Coturnix japonica: one gene and its partners. The protein of the gene in region 3 interacts with the protein of the main gene of each other region in a biochemical or structural test. Links are inferred from orthologs where the notes say so. Each region holds a gene or a part of one and is shown on either strand. Other genes may lie near its edges. The genes, in order: RELN, DAB1 and VLDLR.

Region 1 (7,471 bases), on a different chromosome or scaffold from region 3:
GATGTCTCATTGTTGGTTTGTAAATTATTCAATAAAAGGAATGTTTGAACCTATCTATGGAGCAGGCACGCCTCTCTCTGCCAACCACTGTCAGCGATGAGTTCCAGCCCGTGAAGCCACTAGCATTTCACTTCTACTGGAACTAAATTGTTAGAGAAAAAGCAGGTCATCTCTTTGTGACGTAACACAGGAAAATGGGTTAGCTGTGAGCAAAACCCATCTTAATAGCGGGAGAACCGGGAGGGTGAAGACACTTTACTTGGTAAAATCTTGTCAAGGGGATGAATATAGATCAGACCATAGGAACCTGATATAGTGAACCCTGTTTCTGAACAGTATCCTTCTTACTAAAAAAGGAAATGAATAAGGCATTAGTTGCTAATGCAAATTTTTCAGAGGCACAACAACAACACTCTGTGCAAAGAGCAATACAGCATCTTGTATCTTTGAAAGGATATAAATCAGCCTTACATGGTAGCACAGTACTGAACAGAAATATCCTTTTATCTATGCTCCAGCAGAATATATTTCACAGTCATTGCTACACTACAGGAACACACCAATACTTGGTGATAAAGCCCCGCTTTCCCTCCTGTGTTCTTCCAAGAGCACAACACCTACCCCTGCTGTGCCACATATTTCATTGCCATCTTAACTGCTGCTGGTTGCAGTCAGGGCAAGGCATTAACAAAGACTGACTCTCAAAGGTTTCCCTGGGCCAAAGTGATTCTTACTGAGTTTAACACTTGTGCCATGCTGGAGGTATTTCTGAGATGGGGTGGGATGAGATGAAGCTGATACTCACAGAACAACTTCTACGTGGTCCAAAGCCCACTGATCATGACCTGTTCCATTGTGACGGGGCTGCCACCAGCGCAGTAAGACTCCTTTCATTCGTGCCTCCCTGTCATCACAAACACAAGATCCTATGAGAGCTCCAGACTACCAAAGGCTTGCACTTTTCTGTCTCCCCCCATCAGGAAATGAGAGCAAAGCCAAAGCGCTATTTGTGCAGGCTGTAAGCACAAAACATTCAAAGGTGAAAAATGCATACACAAAAGGAAGAATTAAATATATTTTCCTCTTATCCTTTAAACACAAATTATGCTTTTTCCAAAGTATTTGATAAGCACTCTCCTGTTCTTCCTTAATCAGCCTTCCCCTTACACTTCCTTCTTTTGCCTACCCTCTCATCGACCTTATTTTTCTTGCAGTGATGCAAAAATAGAGTCCTTCCTACAATAAATGTATCTTGTGCATTTAGACGTAATGAAATGTGACTGGGTACTCACAGGGGAACATTATAAGACACTCTTTGGGCTTGTATAAAGTCCTTTGGCTGATGCTGTGCAATTACTTGCCATGTAATTCCATTATTTACACTGTATTGGAGGAGCACTGCCTTGTCTACAGTGTTAGGATCACTTAGATTGGTATTGCAGCTGTCTGTTTGTGAAATGCTTCCAATTTGCAAAACAAACATGATTTTGCTGTAAAACACCAAGAGAAAAGGTATTGTCAATACGCAAATAAGTATCCAGACAAGAACGATTGTATTTCCACATTTATCACAGTTATTAAAAATTTCAGGATTCTCAAGTTTTGTTACTTTTAACACGTAAAATAAGTTGTTCTCACATCTAAAACATAGCTCCTTTTTCAAAGTAAACATTTCGCTGTGTACAGCATATATCCATATATTTGAAGGCAACAGATCCAGTTTTACAATGTACCTTTACTCAAACGAGATATACAGATAGAACAAACATGCAAATGAATATATGAAAAGCTAAAAAGGGGCAAATAAAAGTTGAACAAAGTACTGAAAAGATTTCTAATATTCTACCTAGGCATTCAAATAAGAAACAAAGAGTCTGATTCATATCTGGCCCATTTGCTGATTCACTCTGTTTCTAATAATTCTTTAGACAGTTAAAGACAAAACCAGTCCAGAAAGCTGTCACTCTGTTAAGGGTCAGCACAGGCTGGTTATGTTTGTTTTTCTGTGGCTAAAGAGATTTAACAGAAGAAAAAGATGCTCATTTTCATTTCCAGGTGAATACAATTTTATTTGACAACTGAAACAGGAAAATGAGTCCGTAATTACTGATAGCATCTTCACTCATGACTGCCATTGGAGGCACATGCAAACATGGCATTTGTTTTATCAGATCAGGCACTGGTCCAGACAGTCTGGTATCCAGTCTTTGCCAATGGCTTCAGTGTCAGTTCTGGCTTACAAGGCAGCTCTCTGTTGGACATGATGAAAACAGCTGACCTTTTCATTTGACATCGCTTCCTCCTCATTCTATCTCCCAAATGAAAGTCACAAAGCATTTTGTTTATCTGCCAACCACATCTGACTGCATGGTAAAGCCAAGTTAGTTTATCCTCTTCAATACTGCCTCACATGGCTTCACATGCATAGAAAAAATTTCCTTTCTCATAAGCTGCTGAAGGAACATTTTATGCTTAAAGTATTACCTTGCTCGGGTGAGATCCAGAGGCTTAGTCACAGCTTGTCGTACTTGACATCCATTAAAATAGAGTGAATCTCCGTGGGCATAGGGTGCCAGCTGTCCACATCCATTCCCTATCACTCCCCCCTGAATGGTTTCCCAGTTTATTTCAGTGACTCTTTCAGATTCAAAATTATCTTTAATATAACTGGGTAGATCATGGCTAAAAACAGAGCAGTCATCACCTAAAAATGAAACAGTGAAGTTATAAAACATGAAGAAATGAAAAAATTGGGAAAATTCAGTTAAATCCATTGTAATTGCATTCAAGTCAGTGGCTCAATAAACGGAGTGACTACAGGCTGAATATGTTTCAGCAGATCCATTAATAGTGTGCACATTGCTGCACAGCATTCAGTTTTATGAAACTGAAGCTGCCAATCTGTTATTTTTTACATCAGTACAACTTCAAGGATTGCAATAGAGCTTCCCCTATTTTCCATTGGTGCCATCATAAGAAACCTCAAATTGACACCTGAGGGGAAATGTGTTTAAAACTGGGAAGGAATCTGATCTCATAAAGTTACGAGACTGCCCTGGATGGCTCTAAACACTTTGGCTCCACTCCCATAAAGCAGTTAGGATGTAATGAGGACACTCAGGTACCGTTAGATATGTGCTTATCTGGACTGAGGCATTAGAGCAGAATCCCCTACAGGCGCCATCAACTTCTGGATCCTGTGTACACTTCCCCTGGGAGTGACTGCACCCTTGGAAGGAGTAGAAGGCTGAAAGCCATATCTGGCTAAGAAGGTAGCCACCTCCTGGCTCCAACAAAGATTGAATGGGCTTTAAATACAGTGCCAGACAGCAGAGACTAGTGATTCAATCCAGAAAGAATAAATGGAAGGAAAAGCTGTTAGCTGCAGCCCTGTCAAATTATGAGTTTAAAGTCTGTTACTCAAGCACTCCAGTGATGAGTTAAGACAGGATATATCACTCTATCTTTTTGTTTAACTTTGAGCTACATTAGTTTGCAGCAGTTGTATATGAAAGAAACTGAAGAAAAGAAACCTTGATATCCTTCATCACAAATGCAAATAGCTCCAGTTGTGCAATATCCTCGACCACTGCAGAGCTTTGGGCACGCTTCCCCAATGTACACATGGTCGATTGCCCAGCTTTGTTTCTCTAGTTCTTCTCCTTTCTGAATCCACCTGAACTGAGTTGCACTGCAAATGTCAAAACCCAAATACGATATTATGATATGTAACAATTAAACACATTTGTACAGAGAACTTCAAATTTTCCAGCAGAAGATGTAATTAGAAAAAATAATAATTGCATTAGAGTGTTGTGACTTTAATAACTAGAAAGACCCAGCCTGAACAGGTCATAACCATATTATTGGCAGTAGACACTTCTATTTAAATAAGCTTTCTCAAAAACATTAGTTCTACATCAGACCTAAATCCAGCAATAAAGAAGCATTTTAAATCCACCAGTTGTTCCAAAGCAAACAGTGCCAGCAAGACAGCTGACATTTTATAGACCCAGAGTGAGATGACCTTTTGGTAGCCTACCTGGAAGAGACATGATCAGGCAGCTGGATAGTTATTCTTCTCCACGTGGAGCTGTTGACAGAGTTATAGATGGTAGCTTCATGGAATTGAAATGGGGAGCAGCCAATGCTATTAGATGAGGAAGGAAGACAGTGCGTCTGTACGAGCTGCCACGAATCTGTCCTATAAGAAACAAAAAAATTATGTTCTTAGAACTACAGACGGAATAATGAAAGGGAAACAGGAAATCTCTAAAGGTCACAACTTCACCAATCTTACTAAACAAATCCAAAGGATTGCCAGCAATAGTCTTTGTATGCTTTGCAGCCACAGAAAGACAAGAGTTGAGAGGATGAAAGTCTGGTGCAGCCATGGAAGACTTTCCATGCTCCGTATTTACCTACAAGCATTTAAGTACAAAATATGCCTTCAATTGTACAAATTATAATGCACCATTATACTACAGCACAGTGCTATTAAAGAAATAATGTTATTGTTTGTCAGTTAAAGACCAAATCAGAATTAAATAACCTCTGCCTGATTACCTGTTTGGTCCTAAATATACACTCCTATACCATACTAAAACAACAGTATCCCATGAATGTGGTTTTCTGTGAACACATTTTTAACAGTAACAAGGGCATGACTGCAACTGCAAGCTCTGTCAACATCTGGGATAAATTATAAAGTTAATTTATGGAAGTTATGTACAGAAATCCCAGCACTTGCCAACAGAATTTGTTCAGATCCTGTTACAAGATGAACATCAAAGCGAATGCTTCAATAAATAAAAGCCCTTGAAGTTTTTAATAGCACACTATTTTTTAAGTCTGTATATTCTGCTCTCATTTACCTCGCATCCTTAGTATACTCCAGCATCACAGAGTGGAGGTCCCCACAAGATGATGCCTCGCAGCCAACCACGATCTATAGCACAAATAAAATTGGCAGCTGTAACAGGTCAGGTAGACATTTCATGTGATATATGATGAAGTGTTGCTCTATTTTTTATTTTTTACAGGTTGCCTAAAAGAGAAACTTAGACCATGGAAAAACATCCATCAGAAGTGGATGAATAGCAAAAGACACAGTACTTCAAGTACTGTTTAATTGTACCTCACTGTTATTTTCAAACAGAATCCTAACACTGCTATCTCAAATTTCAAATTAGCTATCTAAACAAAAACTGAATCTGAGACACAGAGAGGTGGGCGCACCTTGGCACTTGAGAAACACCTAACTTCATATTAACTGCCCATGAAATATTTGAATCATAATAATTAAAATGGGAACGTCAAATCAAGTCAATCCAATTTAGGAACAGAATTATCCTGCATGTATCAAGCAGTAACCATATTTGTGCCATGTTAGAATAGAAAGATTACAGCGTCCTTTATAGAGTACTGAAGAGGTAACGCAAAGCTAAATTTTAAGTACTTCAAAACAAAATGGCAGACATATATTTAGAGCTGCATTCTTAGTTTAGAAATAAAATCTTTGCTGTGTCTGGAGAAAAAACACCTTACTCAGTAATGTGAAAAATCCAATGCTGATGGGTTATCTTACTTTTTGCCCTCAAAATAGAGGAAAATGATGATATGCCGGGTAAGAGTAGCAGCAGCTCAGAGAGGTCTTGGCATGCAGTAGGATCTAGCATGTCAGACTCCACTTTTATATCATTTCTTTAAAGACAGCATACTGTGTATAAATGGTCACAGCATCGCTTTCATGGAGTATATTAGTCAATATAAAATAGGCAACTGTGTTGAGAAAATATTGATTGAAAACAGGAAATCCCAGAGCTGTAAAAAATAAAAAAGATAGCAAGAAAGAAACATAACAAGAAAACAGACAACTATTTGTATGACTTGGCTTTCATGTTATTTCTTGGCTCTGGGAAAGACCGAGAACATTTCCAGGCAACAACTACGTAAGCATTTTCTGATTGCCACTGTCTCTATTCGGAATTCTACCTTAACTAAGTAAAATACCCAGAAATGTTACTCTGATTATTCAGAATACTGTTCATTACACAAATAAGCAGAGATGTTCTTCTACTCTGAGCTCTCCTGCATTTTCAATATGCCAGCTTGTTTCCAGCCCAATTCTGTATTCCCTTTTCTGTTTATTCACCAGGTGGAGGAAATGTTGTATTCTGCATGCTTTATATTTTCACCTTAGAAAATAATTCTCACTGCTGATCCAGTAATTTGTGGAGAAAGGGATTAGACTTCCAGTCCTTCTCAGTAACCCCTGAAGGATGCAGGCAATCAGAATTACCCATCATTTAGCATTCATGTAACTTTTCAGGTACTCGTTACCGACACTTCAACATTTCTCTTAAATTCTAATAATTAAAGTCATAATTTATTCATCCAGTTATGCCTCATAGCTGGAAGAAGGAGAATTTCTGAAGAGAAACTAGACCGTTTTTCATTGCATACTTTACGCTGTAGAGAGAGAACATTCCTTACTTTAAACTGCATCATGTACCCTGGCTGTATAATGAGCTCCCTGGAGGACAGGATGTTGTGTGTTTTGTCCTTTTTCTTATTCGGCCAGTAGAGATGGAATGAAGGATTTCCACAGAACCCTGCAGTCCTGACTGCATTAGGATAAAAACTCCAGTTTTCTTCGTGAGAGATGCCTTCTGTTAACATACAGAGTTAAATACAATTACTGCATTGTCTTGGTAAATATCAAGGCTTAGTTATGAATCCACAGAATCACTAGATATAAACTCTACATCTCTGCTAGCTGTTGTGACATGCAGTAAGTTAAGCTACTAGCAGACACAGTAAAAACGTCAGCTCCAGACAACTAATTTAAATTTTAAAATAACAGCATTTCCAAAAATATGATTAAATAAAATCTCCCTGTTCAAAAATTTACATGAATTGAGGTAGACTGAAAAAAATGCCGTTCTTACAGGTATACCCATACATATACACAAATACACCTGAATTCATGTGCAAATACGTATTTACACACCAGGATATAAACAGTAGTTGTCTACAACAAAAAAGAGCTCAAAAAAGAGAAAAAAGGTGTTTGCAAGTTCACGGACCTTTTCGCAAATAAAACCACAGCAGACAACAGAATAGCTGTCACAGCCTTTCTTACCATCATCAAACGTATCTACCAGCTGACTGGGGTTGATCTCTGCTCCACCAATCAGAATGTTATCCAGAGCCCACTGCGCCCGATCAGGCCCTGAAACCACAATGCCATTGCTGATGGTGAAAGGCTGCCACCAGCGCAAGCGGGTTGTGTTGGTCAGAGCATGTTCGGGGAGAAGGATGTAGTCATGCCTGACTGAGATGTATTTTTGGTAATCCATCTCATGAAGCAAAGTCCAAGTTATTCCTAGAATGAAAAGATGCAGATTTAGTAATAAAAACAAGAAACAGACAGAATCTTCTAAAAGATTAAAGGGAGATAATAGGAAAT
Region 2 (8,011 bases), on a different chromosome or scaffold from region 3:
ATATATAATTATTATTTGTGATTCTTGACTTTTGCCATTGAAAGCAGTGTTTTGGGAGGCAACAACTGCATAAAATTAATTATTCTTTCAGTGGATGAAGTGGGTGGGTGTGTACACTGTGGTTGGAACTCCAGATTAATATTTACACCTTAAATACTCATCTTAAGGTTGGAGTGAAGTGTAGGAGCACGCGGTGAATGTTAGAGTGATGCAATGCATTTTATGGGGAAGCACCTCAGCAATCCTTTTTAACTTGCTGCCTTTGGAAATGCCAACAAATGTGCCTTCACACCCCACTCTTCCAGCCCAGGGATAGAAGAGAAATGCCTTCAATTGTGATGATGGGGGCAGAGAGCACTGCAGTCCACAAGGATTGTTGGGATCTCTTGCTTTGATTGAGCATTTATCTACACCTATGAGATGTGGTACTATTCCTGGGCATGCCTAAGATTAAATATCTCTGCCTTGACTACATTAAAGATCAGAGGTCTGTTTTGGTAGGTGCCATCAGAGGACACATGTCTTGCTTGAGAAAGCCAATAATTTCCTAAAGTCATAAAAAAGAAGGAAAAAAAGCCCCGGCTGTGATGAAGGTGATGACAGGGCAAGTCATAATTCTCTTTTGGCAGACATTTGCATTCACGCTTGCCTGGAAGTTACGTGTCTGAGAGTTGCTGAGGGTAAGTACATTGGGTAGGTGTGATTTCCTCATGGCAATTTTGGGTCAAGCAGGCACCCTAACCTGGGGCACCCTTAGCTGTGCCTGGGTGCAAAGGGCAGCAGAGTGCATCCCCAGCTGCTCAGATGGGGGGCCTTTGCATGCCTGGCTTCAGGGATCTTTGCTAGCACCATGGGTGATACTTTTGGTTCTAAGCCCATAATGGTGAGACTTGGAAAGGAAATGTGCTATGGGTACAGAAGCAGGGAGACCTTGATGTCACTGTCAAGATGTGAGGGTGAAAGTAGCTTTTTCTTAACCCTTTCATTACCACATGGGACTTTTTGACTTGCAATTAAAGGAACCTCTGAGTTAAGCTGAACAACAGCTGAGCACAACAGAGTCCGTGCTGCATGCTGCTTTCTCAGAGCAATGTGTGCTGTAGCTGCTGAGTAACGTAACAGGGAAACCTCATTTCCATGCCAAGCTCTGCCTGCCCCAAGCAGAGCACAGCCCTTCCCTGGCTGTGGTTGTGGCTGCAGCATTATTCCCTCCTTTCTGCTTTTCCTGCCTCGTTCCCAGCTCTCTGCTCCTTGCTGCTCGGAGGCACACAGCCTCAGCAGCTCTGTGTGAGCTCACCAGCACTCTCCTTCACAGCATCCCTGGGCTTTTTGCTCAGCCATCTGCGTTAAGGAATAGAAATTAACAGCGTTTGCAGACAGACCTCATGCAGTCATCTCTTACAGACAGTTCCCGGTTCCTGTTTGGATGGGATTGCTGATGAGCATTTGCATATTTGATGCTCTCTGTACTGACTCGTCTGGTTAAGCTCTTTCCATGCAAGTTTCTCATGGGGTCCCCTCCCAAATCCAACTGACCACCCTCCCCCACTTCAGCAGGAGTTCTGCTAAAAGTAGGCAGGGGTCTGGAAACAGTGGAAGAATGCAGGTCATGAGATTGACAGGTGTTTTGTGCTGAGAGTTGTAATGGGGATGTGGTGGGATTGGAGCAGGTTGGGCTGGCGTGGATCCTCTTCCCATTCTCCTAAACCCCAGAAAGGAGCAGACTGGAAGCAACTAAGGATAAGGAGGGCAATCAGGGTATGGCTCAGTCCCATAGGCTGTCCAGCAGTTTTGTTCACCTGTTATTGTCCATAACTAAGGGATAACAAAGTGTCTGAAGCAGCTGTTATCAGATGGCTCAGGGCTGGCACCTGGATCCTAACAGGCAGGAGAAACCATCCGTGCTGTCACAGATACATGGCACAGGGGTGCTGGTGAGATGTTGGGGCTGTGAAAAATGCTGTCTCAGATCCACAGAACCACAGGGGTCAGGAGGAACTTCTGTACTTCCCCAGTCCAACCCCACTACGGCAGTTCTCTACAGCAGCTGCATAGGAATGCATCCAGGTGGGTTTGGATCTCTCCAAAGAAGGAGAGTCCCCCCACCATGTCTGTGCAGCTGTGCTGGGGCTCTGCTGCCTCACAGTAAAGTTCTTCCTCATGTTCAGATGGAACTTTGTCCCACCTTGTGCCCATTGCCCCTTATTCTGTCACTGAGCATGGCTGAAAAGCTCCCAGCCCCATCCCATCCCCCTGACCCCTATTAGATACTGAACAGGGCTGTTAAGATCCACTCTCAGCCTTCTGTTCCCCATTAGCACAACCCCGTGGCTGTCACCCTGTCCCCATCGGGAGATGCTCCAGGTCCCACCACCTCCGCATCTCTGCGCTGAGAGCTGCTCCAGGTCCCTCATTCACCCCCTGGGCGCCTCCTTCTGCCCCCGGCCGGGCGGGGGGATGCTGCCAGGCTCGGCCTCGCCCCTCTATTAGGGGGAATGCGGTAACGCGGTGGCTGCAGGGGCCGCAGAGCTGCGCGCGGAGCTGCGCGCGGAGTCGGGTGCGCGCATCGCTCCGCTGCCGCTGGAGGATGAGAACGGCGCTGCGGGCGGCCGAGCCGGGCTGCAGGTAGGGAGGAGGAGGCGGCCGGGTTGTATGGTGTGTGTGTACGGGGGTCCCGGCTCACTAAGGGGGGCCGTGGAGCGGGGGAGAGCTTGTGTGTAAAGTTTGGGCCGCTCGGAGGGAGGGAGGGATGGAAGGAGGGATGGAAGGAGGGATGGAAGGAGGGATGGAAGGAGGGATGGAAGGAGGGATGGAAGGAGGGATGGAAGGAGGGAGGCGGGGGCTGCGGGCTGCTCCGTTACGGAGGGGCGGCGGAGCTGCGTGGCCGCGGGGAAAGCCCCGCGTGGGGGGCGCGGAGCCGTTGGCAGCGCTGCAGCTGCCGGGGGAACTTGGGGCTGGTGAGCACCGGGCGGCTCGTGCCGTGTGTGTGTGTCTGTGTGTCTGTCTCGGTTGCTGTCCCCCGTCGGCTCCGCGTTCCTCGCGGTGCTGCCCTTCAGCCCTTCGCTGTGCCCCGCTGCTAACGGAGGTGCCCGCTTGGTCAGGTTGGTGAGCAATTAGGCGTAACCCCTTCGGGATGTGACTCCGCGGGGTCTGAGTCGCGGTGCTGTGAATTCCGGCTTCGGGCTTAGCGCCGGGATGGGATGGGTTGATGAGGGCTGCAGGGTGCAGCTGTGGGCACGGCTGGCTGCGGGGAACAGCAGCGCTGCTGTGCCGTCCTGCTTTCACATACGGTCCCTCCGCCGCTGCTCCAGTGTCGGTGCCCGGGGTGGGGGCTGTCTGTGTGCTCCGAGTGCTGCCCGGAGCCGTTAGCATCGCTCTCGTGTGATGACGCCGTTGTTGGATGAGCGCGGCTTGAAGCCGACGTGCCGCTCGTCAGAGCCCACGAGTTGTTTCTGAGCTGAATTTTGTTCTCGTGAGCGGAGAGGCATTTGCACTGCAGTGTTACAATACAGCCATATTAAAAAGGTCCTTGGAGCAAATAACCCTCCAGTGCTGCAGCGACGCGGCTTCAGTACTTCTATGAGCAATAACCGTGCTGGATTTCCGACCTGAACTGACTGTGTTCTTTTAATTGTGGTATTAAACGTTCATGGGAGCGGTAAGTGTGAGCTGAAACCTGGAAAGCAAACCCCCAACCCACCCGAAGCTTTATTCGGAATCAATTCATTTTTATTTATTTATTTATTTATTTGCAACAGGTCCTTCTGGCTTTTGCTTTCTGCTGTTAATTAATTGGCAAGAAGGTCTTTTCCTTGCATGTGTTTCCCTCGCTAAGCAGAGTGATGTTCTGGTGCTGAGCAGCAGCTCACGGTGCCGTGGTTGTCTTCCTTGGGTGGTTCAGTGTCTGTGGTGCTACTGGGGATGGAGGCAAGGAGGACCGGGGATAAGGAAGGAGGAGATGGCTGAGATGGGTGGCATTTGCAAATCAGGCAGTGAAGGTTTCTTATGACTTGGTGATGGTGTCTGTGGGACCTGAAATAAGCAGCTGAAATAACACCCTGCTTCGTGGTTGAAGGTCAGCGTCGGGTCCATCGCTCAAGCAGAGCTCTAAGCACCATTGCCATGGGTGGGAGAATGAGGGTGCAGGGGGGGGGGACCTGCAGGCTGATGTTTCCTTGACTGACAGACACTTAGGCAGCACCACGTGCCACTGTGATAATTTGGCCTCTCTAATGACTTCCTCCAGCAAGCTGATAGGGAATTAAAATGTTTGCAGATGGGTTTTGGAAGGGTTCATCAGGATGGGGAGGGAAATCCTTCTATTCTTAGATTTCTCTAATCCCAAGCTTCTGTTCCTGTAGTCATGCTAATTTTTTATTGATTGTTGTGGCAGAGGATGCTGTGTTGTAGAGAGCAGTAATTCCAATGTATCTGCTCCAGGCAGAATTGTCCTGGGAGGAAGTGGGAAGGAAGGAGAAGCTAAATAGAGACATGGTACTGCAGTCCCTATTAGAGATGCTCATAAAGCTAAGGTCATGGATGAACAGCTAGATGCTTTTACAATTACGTTTCAATGAATGGACTTAGCTGGAATCCTGTGTTTTCTGTAGAAGTGCCAGTAATTACTTACCTTGAGTGTCCTCCAGCTCAAGACCATTTCTCCATTGGAAGAAACTGTGGGAAGATGTTTGATTGAGGGTGGGCATTGTTTCCTGTATGGATGTCAGCAAAAGAGAATGAGCTGGAGTTGAGACTGGTACCCAGAATGACAGCACAAGAGGAACAAGAAGTTGGTCACTCTTGATGATCAACTTTCTCCTTAGCAGCACCATATGAAGGTCAGGAATGTAGTCTGTATTTCAGTCACCACCTGATTCTTACTTAATATTCTTATGTGAATCCATCTGCATGGATCAGATGAGCCTAAACCGTGCTTGCTTCTCTGTTGGCAACTCTTAATTTCACCAATTTCATGCTTTAGTAATATGAGTTTTTGCTGTTGAACTGCAGGAGTCTACATTGCTCCCTTCCACGCTATTTAGAGATGTAAGCAACAAACCCAACCCAGCACTGGCAGGTGTGGATGCTTTCAAAGCAACCTCTATTAAGTGAGTTCAGTTTTAATGGTGGTGGGGGGGAATGGAGGAGGGCTACAAAAATTGTAGGGAAAATGTGACATAATGATGTTTTCTATGCTCCTTCTTCTTCTGATTGCATTCTGCTTGCAATCACTCTCAGACTTTAAATGTCCTTCTGCTATTGGAGCACTCGAGAGTGAAGTGGGTAGCAAGTTTGTGGGTTGATGCTTTGCCAGGCACGCAAAGCAGGCTGGAGATGAAAACAAGCTATTCTCAACTGCTGATTATAGTTCTTGGAACAGGGAATGAAAGGTATTCTTCTGAGTAACCTGGAGAGCAAATGAAAATGACCCCTTAAACAGTGTCTATAAAACACCATTTTGGTTGAAATTGTTCTATTACAAGAAATACAGAGGATGAGAAACCTGAGCAATCTTGACAATCGTTTTGGGATTGTTCTACAAGAAGATCAAGGGCTTGCCAGATTTTGCTCTTATGCACATAAATCACCTTTCCTCCTCCTGTTCCATAAAATGCATTGGGTCAGGACTTTGCAGTTTGCCATCACATTATTTCAAGTACCTAACGTATAGTACCCATCACAAATAATAGGAGATCCATGTTTCACAGCCCTTAAATTTCTTCATTGCTATGCCAAGATAAAGAACTTCCAAATTTCTCATGCAAGAACATGCGCATGCACTCCTCTTTTATATCTGCAGATTGATGCGCTCAGCAGGAGCTTCTTTGATTCTTACAACACTTAAACGTGACTGACTCAATGAAAAACTGCTGTGTGAATATTTATTTACTCTAGTTTTAATGTAGCAGAGATCTATTAAGATGGAGCAACTACTTCTGGGTCCTTAAGCTGTGGATACAGCGCGGCAAATGACTGCGCTCAATTGTGGGACACTGGCCATGGTACCTGTACAATAACTGTGCCGTATGATAAGGAAAACAAATCCTACTGACGTCACTGGGATTTCTGATTTGAAAAGTTAAATATTCCTCAGTGAGAGCCGTAAGGGTATTACTTTGCCTCATGGAGGGCTTTCTCTGAGTAACGCATCCAAATGGATGTTGGGATTGCCCAACACTGATAATTCATGCACCTCTGGAGTGGAATTCAGCAGCCGTCGTGGGCTGGAAGCATTATGCAGGAGGGGTTTGGGGAAGAGAGATGAAGAAAAACTAATCCAATTGAAACTGTAAGGGGAATTTAGGAAGCAGAATGCAATTATCCGAGTTGGATATTGGCCAGGACATGTTAGTTAACATTTTTACTCTTGCAGGAATTGCCATGGGATCGTTAATGACGATGAGTGGTCAGGGCTCTGTTTTACATCTCATTTGAAAGCTTCAGCTGAGGAAGACATGAATGTTCTGCCTTCCTACAAGGTGTTTTGCTGTGGTCAGTGTGTCACCCACCCCATGCCCCCTGTGCTTTCTGGACACATCTGCTTTGCATCACTATGTAGCGTCCATAGTGAACCAAGGTGATGAAGCTTACTGAAAAGTAACTGATGTTTCAGGAGAACAATGCTCTAAACTGTTCTATGGTCATGATTTTCCATCCAACTGTGTGAACCTGAATCTTCTCTAATAAAAATAGCAACTATTTTTAGTTAAAAAGTAGCAGTCTGATGTCAAATGTTCTTTAATGGCAGTGCCTTCTTGCAGTTGGCTTGAAAAGGAGCAGGATGGCAGTAAGCAATGGAAGGGGGAAGAGGCTTCCAAGCTGCCTACCTCGCTCATGTAGATAAGTCAAAGATAGCTCTGAAGGGTCAATACTGTCCTTACAGCAAAGATTTTCCTGTTTCTATAGAAATCTTCCCCCAAAGCTTTCATGGTAATGTCAATAGCAGTAAATTAAAATGCTACTTCAAAGTCACTCAAGATAAACCTAATGTATAAAGTGACACTCAGATTTCCTTCCTATGTTTTCATCCTTGCAGCCAGTTCGTTTAGTCCATGGAGGGACAGGGAATGCCAGTATCTGCATCTGTGACTATACTGAACTTCTGATTGAAAGAAAAAACTGAGCATTCTGATATGGGTTACATGGACTTACCTTGCATTCTGTAGAGCACAGGCTCTCACAGTGTAGTTACAAGTGTTTGGGAGATTGCAGTAGTCTCTTGAAGCTGGGTTAGCATATGAGCATGTCTTAATTGCGCTGATCTCCTCTTAGGATGTGAATCAATGTCAGTACTCTGAGCTTTTTTTAGGGTGTTTTAAGTACATGGAAATGAATATTAAAGAGCGGATGAATCTTCATCTAGAAACATAGGATACAACCACTTTTACTTTGTTTAAATAAGTGTCTCTGGTACGAGGCTGCTTAGTTGCCCATGTAAGTCCAGATTTCATCTGCCATAAATAAAGTAAATGGGCTTAGGGACTTCATATGTAAATAAAGTGCCCATTCCATCTGTCTCGGTGAGGTCTGACCCACAAAACAGCAGCAAATGCTCAGACTGCTTGAAAGAATTTGATGAATATATTATGTTGGTCAGGTGTAGAGCTGTGATCTGTGACATTTTGTGCCTCGTGTGGGCACTGCTGCTGTGTGGCACAGTGGGCTGCATTATTGCAGTCTTCAGGGATACGGAGATTGGAAAGAATATGGACAGAAGCTGTTGTTGAGCAAAATAAATTATGGAGTAGCTCTCCCAGTGTGAGCAGTTTAGTGAATGATGCTGTTTCGAACATCATTTATTTTTTTCTTCAGTAATTGTGCTGTTTGAATTGTGACCTACTTTAACAACATTCCATCATTTCCTAATATTTCTTTATTCATCGCATTTCGTACACACTCAGGTGGCTTACTGTGAGCTGTGTGGAAATTACAATGAAGGTCAAGTGCTTTTGGATAAGGTAACTTAATACTGGAAATATCAACTGGTTGTCATTATTGTTTTCCAATGTGG
Region 3 (6,839 bases):
AATGTTGACCTAGTGTCAACTCACATCTGATGGAGCAAAGAAACTGAAAAGCAAAATATGTTCATTCAGAAGTCTTCCTGTGATAACCTGCTAATATTTTTTCACTCCTGTTACTCCAGGCAACGTGACTTGTAGTGCAGCAGAGTTCACATGCACTAGTGGGCAATGTATTTCCAAGAGCTTTGTCTGCAATGGTCAAGATGACTGCAGTGATGGTAGTGATGAGTTGGAGTGTGCACCTCCAACATGTGGTGTTCATGAGTTCCAGTGCAAGAGCTCCACTTGCATCTCTGCCAGCTGGGTGTGTGATGATGATGCTGACTGCCCTGACCACTCTGATGAATCTTTGGAGCAATGTGGCCGACAGCCTTTGCCTCCTGTAAAGTGTTCTACCAGTGAGGTGCAGTGTGGCTCAGGTGAATGTATCCACAAGAAGTGGCGCTGTGATGGAGATCCTGACTGCAAAGATGGAAGTGATGAAATAAACTGCCGTAAGTTAGCTTGATTCCTCTTCTATAGGAGGTGTTCCTTGGCCCCTCTTTTTTTCCTTTTTGCAGACTGCAGGAGTCAAATTGTCTAATGGCTGTCCCCACAGCTTCTCGGACCTGTAGACCAGACCAGTTCAGGTGTGAAGATGGGAACTGTATCCATGGGACTAGGCAGTGCAATGGTGTGAGAGACTGTCTAGATGGCACTGATGAAGCGAACTGTAACAGTGGTAAGTGTGCAGATTAACAAGACTGAAGACTTGCATAGTTTCTGAAGCTGGCAGCCTCTTCATAGTCTTCATTATCTCAGTTATTCAGTGTTCTGGACCTGGCAAATTCAAGTGCAGAAGTGGAGAATGCATAGATGTTAACAAAGTGTGTAACCATCAGGGAGACTGCAGTGACTGGAGTGATGAGCCTCTCAAGGAATGTAGTAAGTGAACGAACTCCTTATGTAGTACTGACTACTAAACACTTCCTGAGCTGTCAGTTGTTGGAATGAAATACTTATCTGTATTTACTTAGTAGCAAAAATAAACAAGAGTAACCCAGTTAATAGGGCTGTCGTTATCATAGTCAAACTGACTATTGGGATGACTTTGTGACCTGAAGGTACTTGAGGCCATTAAACTCTGAAGGTCAGAGGAGCCTCAGCTGCTGCTGCCCACTTAGAACACAAGCGTATTGATAGCTGGTCAAATGTGGTCTTGAGCATCTGGTACAGCACTCAGTGACTAAGATTTCAGGCCTATATATGTATGCTGTTTAAGAAATGACCTGTTCTTCTCTTCCAGACATAAATGAATGTTTAGTCAACAATGGTGGATGCTCTCACATCTGCAGAGATCTTGTTATTGGCTATGAATGTGACTGTCCAGCTGGGTTTGAGCTTGTAGACAAGAGGACGTGTGGAGGCAAGTATCAAATTAGTTAATAGTGAACATATGAGTTGTACTGTAGATGAGAACAAAATGAATTTGTCTTTACAGATATTGATGAATGCCAAAATCCTGGTATCTGTAGCCAAATCTGTATCAACCTGAAAGGGGGATACAAGTGTGAATGTAGCCGTGGCTATCAGATGGATCTTGCTACAGGAGTGTGCAAGGCTGTGGGTAAGTATTGGCATGAGACAATAACCATAAGCCTGGAAGTCATTCACTTTTAAGTGAGACAGTTAGTGATGTACATTTTCATGCTGCTGTAGTTATGACCCAAACTATGCTCTTAACAGCATAACTTGAATAGGCCTGAACAGTCCTAACATTCTGAGTAGTGCTATGACATGCCACTTAAAGCTACCATGTCTACATGACAGGTTTTTTTTTTTCCCAGGGAGGAGGGTGCTCACCATGAAGGGAGAAAAGAATGGGGTATGATACAGCTAAGATGTTTGTCAGTATCCATTTCCAAGTGTGAAATAGCAGATACTAAATATGACTCCTAAAAAGCTGTCTTAAAGGCCATTGGTTTGTGACTTGATGTCTAGAAACATAGTTAAATAATTACTTTTTCTGCAGGGAAAGAACCATGTCTGATTTTCACCAACCGACGGGATATCAGGAAGATTGGCCTTGAGAGAAAAGAATACATTCAGCTAGTAGAGCAGCTAAGAAACACAGTTGCTCTAGATGCTGATATTGCTGAGCAAAAGCTTTATTGGGCTGACTTCAGCCAAAAAGCAATTTTCAGGTAAATGGACTTATCCTCTGACTTAGTTCTACCTTAAGCATCCTGTATTTTACCCAAGATTCTTCTGTAGGCTTTTGTGCTGAGAGCTAGATTACCAATGACCAAGACTAAGCACAGCAGGTACAATCTCCTGGAGCTAGCATGTGCATACTTGTTGCACTTCTTTGTATCTGTTTCAACTGTGACCTTTTCATAAGGTGCCTGATTTGCGAGTACATCTTCTAGATTGCATGCAGCTCCTTGGCAGGCAGCTTTTGCTGAGGTGTGCAGAGCTGTAGTCTGTTAGGACAAAGAGGGGTAAAAGCAAGTAATTTTTGTTTTCCAGTGCCTCTATTGATACCCGTGATAAAGTTGGAACACACACTAGAATCCTAGACAACATACACAGCCCTGCAGGAATTGCTGTTGACTGGATTTATAAGAACATCTACTGGACTGACTCATCTGCAAAGACCATTTCAGTGGCCAGCCTGAATGGCAAGAAAAGAAAGGTTTTATTTCTTTCTGATCTGAGAGAGCCAGCTTCTATTGCTGTAGACCCTCTCTCTGGGTGAGTGTTTGTCCTAGTTCTCTGGAAAGAACAAATCTACTATCTACTCTGTGTTCTGATAGTCAATTTACACAGCCTTTGTCTAGCTACTTGTTAGCAAATGTAATAATTAAGAGTGATGCTACAGTATCTATAGTGTCATATAACATAAATTATGCTCCACAGCTTTATGTACTGGTCAGACTGGGGTGAGCCAGCCAAAATTGAAAAAGCAGGAATGAATGGATTTGACAGACAGCAGCTTGTGACAACAGAAATCCAGTGGCCTAATGGCATTGCTCTAGGTATGTTGAGTTTGTCTCTGTGCCACAGGTATTCTGGAGCTTTAGCAGTTTGTTCACTACAGAAGCCAAGGTCATCGTTCAAATAACTATTTTTAGCTTTTGATATTGGGAAGTTTTTGTATGCCTAGAGACACTACAACAGGCACAGCACTTCAGATGCTGAAATGGTAACTTTCCCTGCACTGCTGTGTATCCTACCTAAGGCATAGTGCAATTAGGCAGCACTACAGCAGTTTTCTGTATTCCCATGTAATAAGAAACTATATGGTAACACTGCAACAATTCTTGAGCGTGTGGGTGTTGTAGCTTTTGCAGGAAACTCTAGTGGTCTTACACACATAGCCAGTAATTGGTGGTTTGTGTTTTTTTTTTTCTCCCATCCTAGATCTTGTAAAAAGCCGTCTGTATTGGCTAGATTCTAAACTACATATGCTGTCAAGTGTGGATCTGAATGGCCAGGATCGCAGACTTGTGCTGAAGTCTCATATGTTCCTTCCTCATCCTCTTGCTCTAACAATATTTGAGGTAAGAATGGCTTGCTGCAGTACTCGTCAGAACTCTTCTTCCAAGTATGTGGCTAGCAATTATGGTGCTGAAAGAAATACAGAGATTATGGGAGTTAATGACTATTTTCTAGGATCGTGTATTCTGGATTGATGGAGAGAATGAGGCAGTCTATGGTGCCAACAAATTTACTGGAGCTGAATTGGTTACCCTAGTAAACAACCTCAACGATGCACAGGACATCATTGTTTATCATGAACTTGTTCAGCCTTCAGGTAACTACTAGACTTCGTAGTTCTATCAACATATACTTGCATGAAGCCTGCTGTGATTGTGTGTTAGCAAATGGTATCTTCCCCCTGTATAACTATCTAATTCATTTTGGTACTTGAAGCTTTTAGTCTAGCACACCCACTGGGTTTGAGAGAGTCTAGTTGCAATTTTTCTTGCTTGGGCAGATTAGATATAACCTGCAGAGATAAACAACTCAACTAGAGCAACTACTGAGCAAAAAATTATGCTGTACCTTTGGAGCATGAAAGCTCATTCCTGTCAATCACTTAAAATGAACCTGTACCAACAGGCAGGAACTGGTGTGAAGAGAACATGGTAAATGGAGGCTGTAGTTACTTGTGCCTGCCTGCTCCTCAGATAAATGAACACTCTCCGAAGTACACTTGTGCATGTCCTGCTGGATATTTCTTACAGGAGGATGGTCTGAGATGTGAAGGTATGATTAAAAAACTTCTTTCAGGATGGACGATGGGAGAATTGGAATCATGATACTAAGCCTGTAAGAGGCAAACATGACAGTACAGACTGACAGCTTTGCATGAGTAAATCTTATGCAACTTCTCTTAGTGAGGGTGGTCTTCTGGCATGCATTGAGCTACCCTCTAAGTCTGCAGATATTGTTCAGAGTTCATGCCTGGCTTCTGTATCATCATCATTTGCAATAAGACCTTGTGCTTCCACAGCTTTCTGCAGACAGCAGGCATATGCACGAAGCCTACCTAGTCCTTTTGTTAGAAACCAGGGGTATAAACTAACATTGCTGTACAGTGATTCAATCCATTATCTTGAAATGGTCATGGGTTAATCTTGCAAGTTTGTGTATTTCCTTTCCAGTTCCAAGCAAACCTGCTGCTGCTTGTACACTGAGCTCTGGCTGTGTGGCAGACTTGTGTGTCCAATCTAGCAAGAGTAGGATCTCCAAAGTGTCACTCAATAAATTGCATGTTGATTGACTGCTACAGTCAAAGCAGTGAATGTGAGGACATGGTTCTCCATTGGCTGAAGGTAGTGGCTGCTCTATAGGATGGATGTCAAAGGCTGTATTTGACCTGCAAGCTTTATGGAATCAAATATTCTACAGGGAGCGTGAAATGAGTAGGGTGGCTTATATTTTCAATTACTTCAGATAAAGCTTATGCCTGTTTAAGTGGCTCACGTGGTTCATGCAATCATTTATTTTTTTTTATCAACACTTTCAATGGAAGCTGTACTTAGTAAAATAACTAATGTCAATGTTTCCAATAAAGCTAACAAGCTGCATGACCATTCTGCCATCTGCTAAACATTTGCTGCCATGGCTGTCATAGTTAAGCCATTGCAGAACTTCAGGATTAACTGGGTTCTTGGTCTATAATTAGTTTCAGGTACTGGAACAACTGTGACTTACACTGAGGCTAAAGATACCAGCACAACTGAAAAATCTCCAACTGTTGGACTAGTTCCTGGAGGTACTGGTCCCATTAACTCAGATTACTAAACAAAAGATAAGAGAAATGCAGACTAACCCACTAGCATACTTGAAATCTTCTTTGCATGCAAGTAGAAAAAAAACTACTTCATGTATGTAGTAGAAATACAGCAGCTGGAGTATGCGATAAACATAATTTGTTCTTTTATGACTGCATGGAACCCACAGGTTCCATGAAATGCCAAGAGTGCTCAGAGAAGGGCAGCAAAAAATCTTACTGCTAAGATAAGATGAAGCGTCTTAGCACTGTTCTTGTATAACATTAATAATGTTGGAGCAACTTTTAGGCTTAATGTCTTAGTAAGAAATCTGAATAAATCTGCTATCTTGTGATTAAGAAACCTTACTACCTTATGAATTATTGTGCAGGATTCAACATCAGTAGTGTGATGTCTGAAGTAGCTGCAACAGGAGCATCAGGAGCTTGGGCTGTTCTTCCTGTCTGTGAGTACCATGTGTTGAGATCCTTTTTGGTGGGATAAGCTCTTTTTGTTCATAAGTTTGACTTGATACTACTCTATACTTAAAATGTATGTTTCTCCCTGAAGTATTGCTGGTGATGGCTGCAGTGGCTGGCTACTTCATATGGCGTAACTGGCAGCACAAGAACATGAAAAGCATGAATTTTGATAATCCCGTCTATCTGAAAACTACAGAAGAAGACCTCACAATTGATATCGGCAGACACAGTGGTTCAGTTGGACACACCTACCCTGCAGTAAGTAAACTGATTGATATATGCCTGAGGTTTTGGGCTAGTCCTCAGAGTGGATGTAGCAAAGAGCTGCCAAGTGACTTTCAAGATGAGGCTGGATTGGGCCCTGAGCAACTTGATCTAGCTGTGCATGTCCCTGTTCATTGCAGGGCAGCTGGACTAGATGACCTTTAAAGGCCCCTTCCAACTCCAAGGATTCTATGATTCTGTAAATTGGGAGAGGTTTCTGTTCTGGAATGCAGAGACATACTGACTGCACTGAAACTACTGGGCTGAATCAATTCAGAGCTCATACTTTTAATCAAGATTTATGTCGTAGTCGGCAACTGCTACTGTATGACTGGGATGGAGTAAACCAGTGTTGAGTATGGTTTCTAGCCTGCAGAACTAGAACCTACTTCAGACTGCCCTGTAGTGAAGACTTGCATTGTTGTCCTTTATTGGTAAAACTGTAGTTAACAAACACTTTTTCTTTTTACAGATATCTGTTGTAAGCACAGATGATGATATGCTGTGAGCACTGGATTAGCAATCGCTTTCAGTTTACTTTGTGTTTTACACTTACGGGGATGATAAACATGCTTGTGGCTGAAAGACTTCCTCCATTCTTGGAAGAATGAAGAAACTTTCTCTGTGTATGGAACACTTACATAATTAGCTGTTTTATACAGCTTAACAACCAACTCTGTAAATACCTGTCCACAACAATTCAGCTTTTAGTGGTTACTATTTTATCAGTAACCCTTGAATTGGTCAGTCAGTAACACCAGTGGCCAAATACAAAGCACTTTCCATAGAAAGCCATATTCCAGCCACAACTTGTGCTATTGTGTAACAGCTGTAC

The links.
Region 1: the proteins of VLDLR (region 3) and RELN form a complex in vitro, tested with the Homo sapiens proteins (6 studies listed by BioGRID). The link is inferred for Coturnix japonica from reciprocal best matches to the Homo sapiens genes VLDLR and RELN.
Region 2: the proteins of VLDLR (region 3) and DAB1 form a complex in vitro, tested with the Homo sapiens proteins (2 studies listed by BioGRID). The link is inferred for Coturnix japonica from reciprocal best matches to the Homo sapiens genes VLDLR and DAB1.

Annotation. Positions count from the first base shown.
Region 1 is NC_029516.1:11,729,658-11,737,128, forward strand, and holds part of RELN (reelin), read right to left. Parts: intron 7,388-7,471; coding exon 7,145-7,387; intron 6,672-7,144; coding exon 6,496-6,671; intron 4,949-6,495; coding exon 4,875-4,948; intron 4,205-4,874; coding exon 4,043-4,204; intron 3,692-4,042; coding exon 3,534-3,691; intron 2,705-3,533; coding exon 2,485-2,704; intron 1,491-2,484; coding exon 1,293-1,490; intron 905-1,292; coding exon 806-904; intron 1-805. UniProt on the Homo sapiens protein: Extracellular matrix serine protease secreted by pioneer neurons that plays a role in layering of neurons in the cerebral cortex and cerebellum by coordinating cell positioning during neurodevelopment.
Region 2 is NC_029523.1:23,459,107-23,467,117, reverse strand, and holds the start of DAB1 (disabled homolog 1), read left to right. Parts: upstream 1-2,565; 5' UTR 2,566-2,625; intron 2,626-3,369; exon of another isoform or gene 3,370-3,658; intron 3,659-8,011. UniProt on the Homo sapiens protein: Signaling adapter of the reelin-mediated signaling pathway, which regulates the migration and differentiation of postmitotic neurons during brain development.
Region 3 is NC_029547.1:24,164,601-24,171,439, forward strand, and holds part of VLDLR (very low-density lipoprotein receptor), read left to right. Parts: intron 1-119; coding exon 120-491; intron 492-595; coding exon 596-718; intron 719-798; coding exon 799-921; intron 922-1,282; coding exon 1,283-1,402; intron 1,403-1,477; coding exon 1,478-1,603; intron 1,604-2,008; coding exon 2,009-2,180; intron 2,181-2,505; coding exon 2,506-2,730; intron 2,731-2,895; coding exon 2,896-3,014; intron 3,015-3,399; coding exon 3,400-3,539; intron 3,540-3,651; coding exon 3,652-3,793; intron 3,794-4,101; coding exon 4,102-4,248; intron 4,249-5,170; coding exon 5,171-5,260; intron 5,261-5,649; coding exon 5,650-5,724; intron 5,725-5,828; coding exon 5,829-5,998; intron 5,999-6,476; coding exon 6,477-6,512; 3' UTR 6,513-6,839. UniProt on the Homo sapiens protein: Multifunctional cell surface receptor that binds VLDL and transports it into cells by endocytosis and therefore plays an important role in energy metabolism.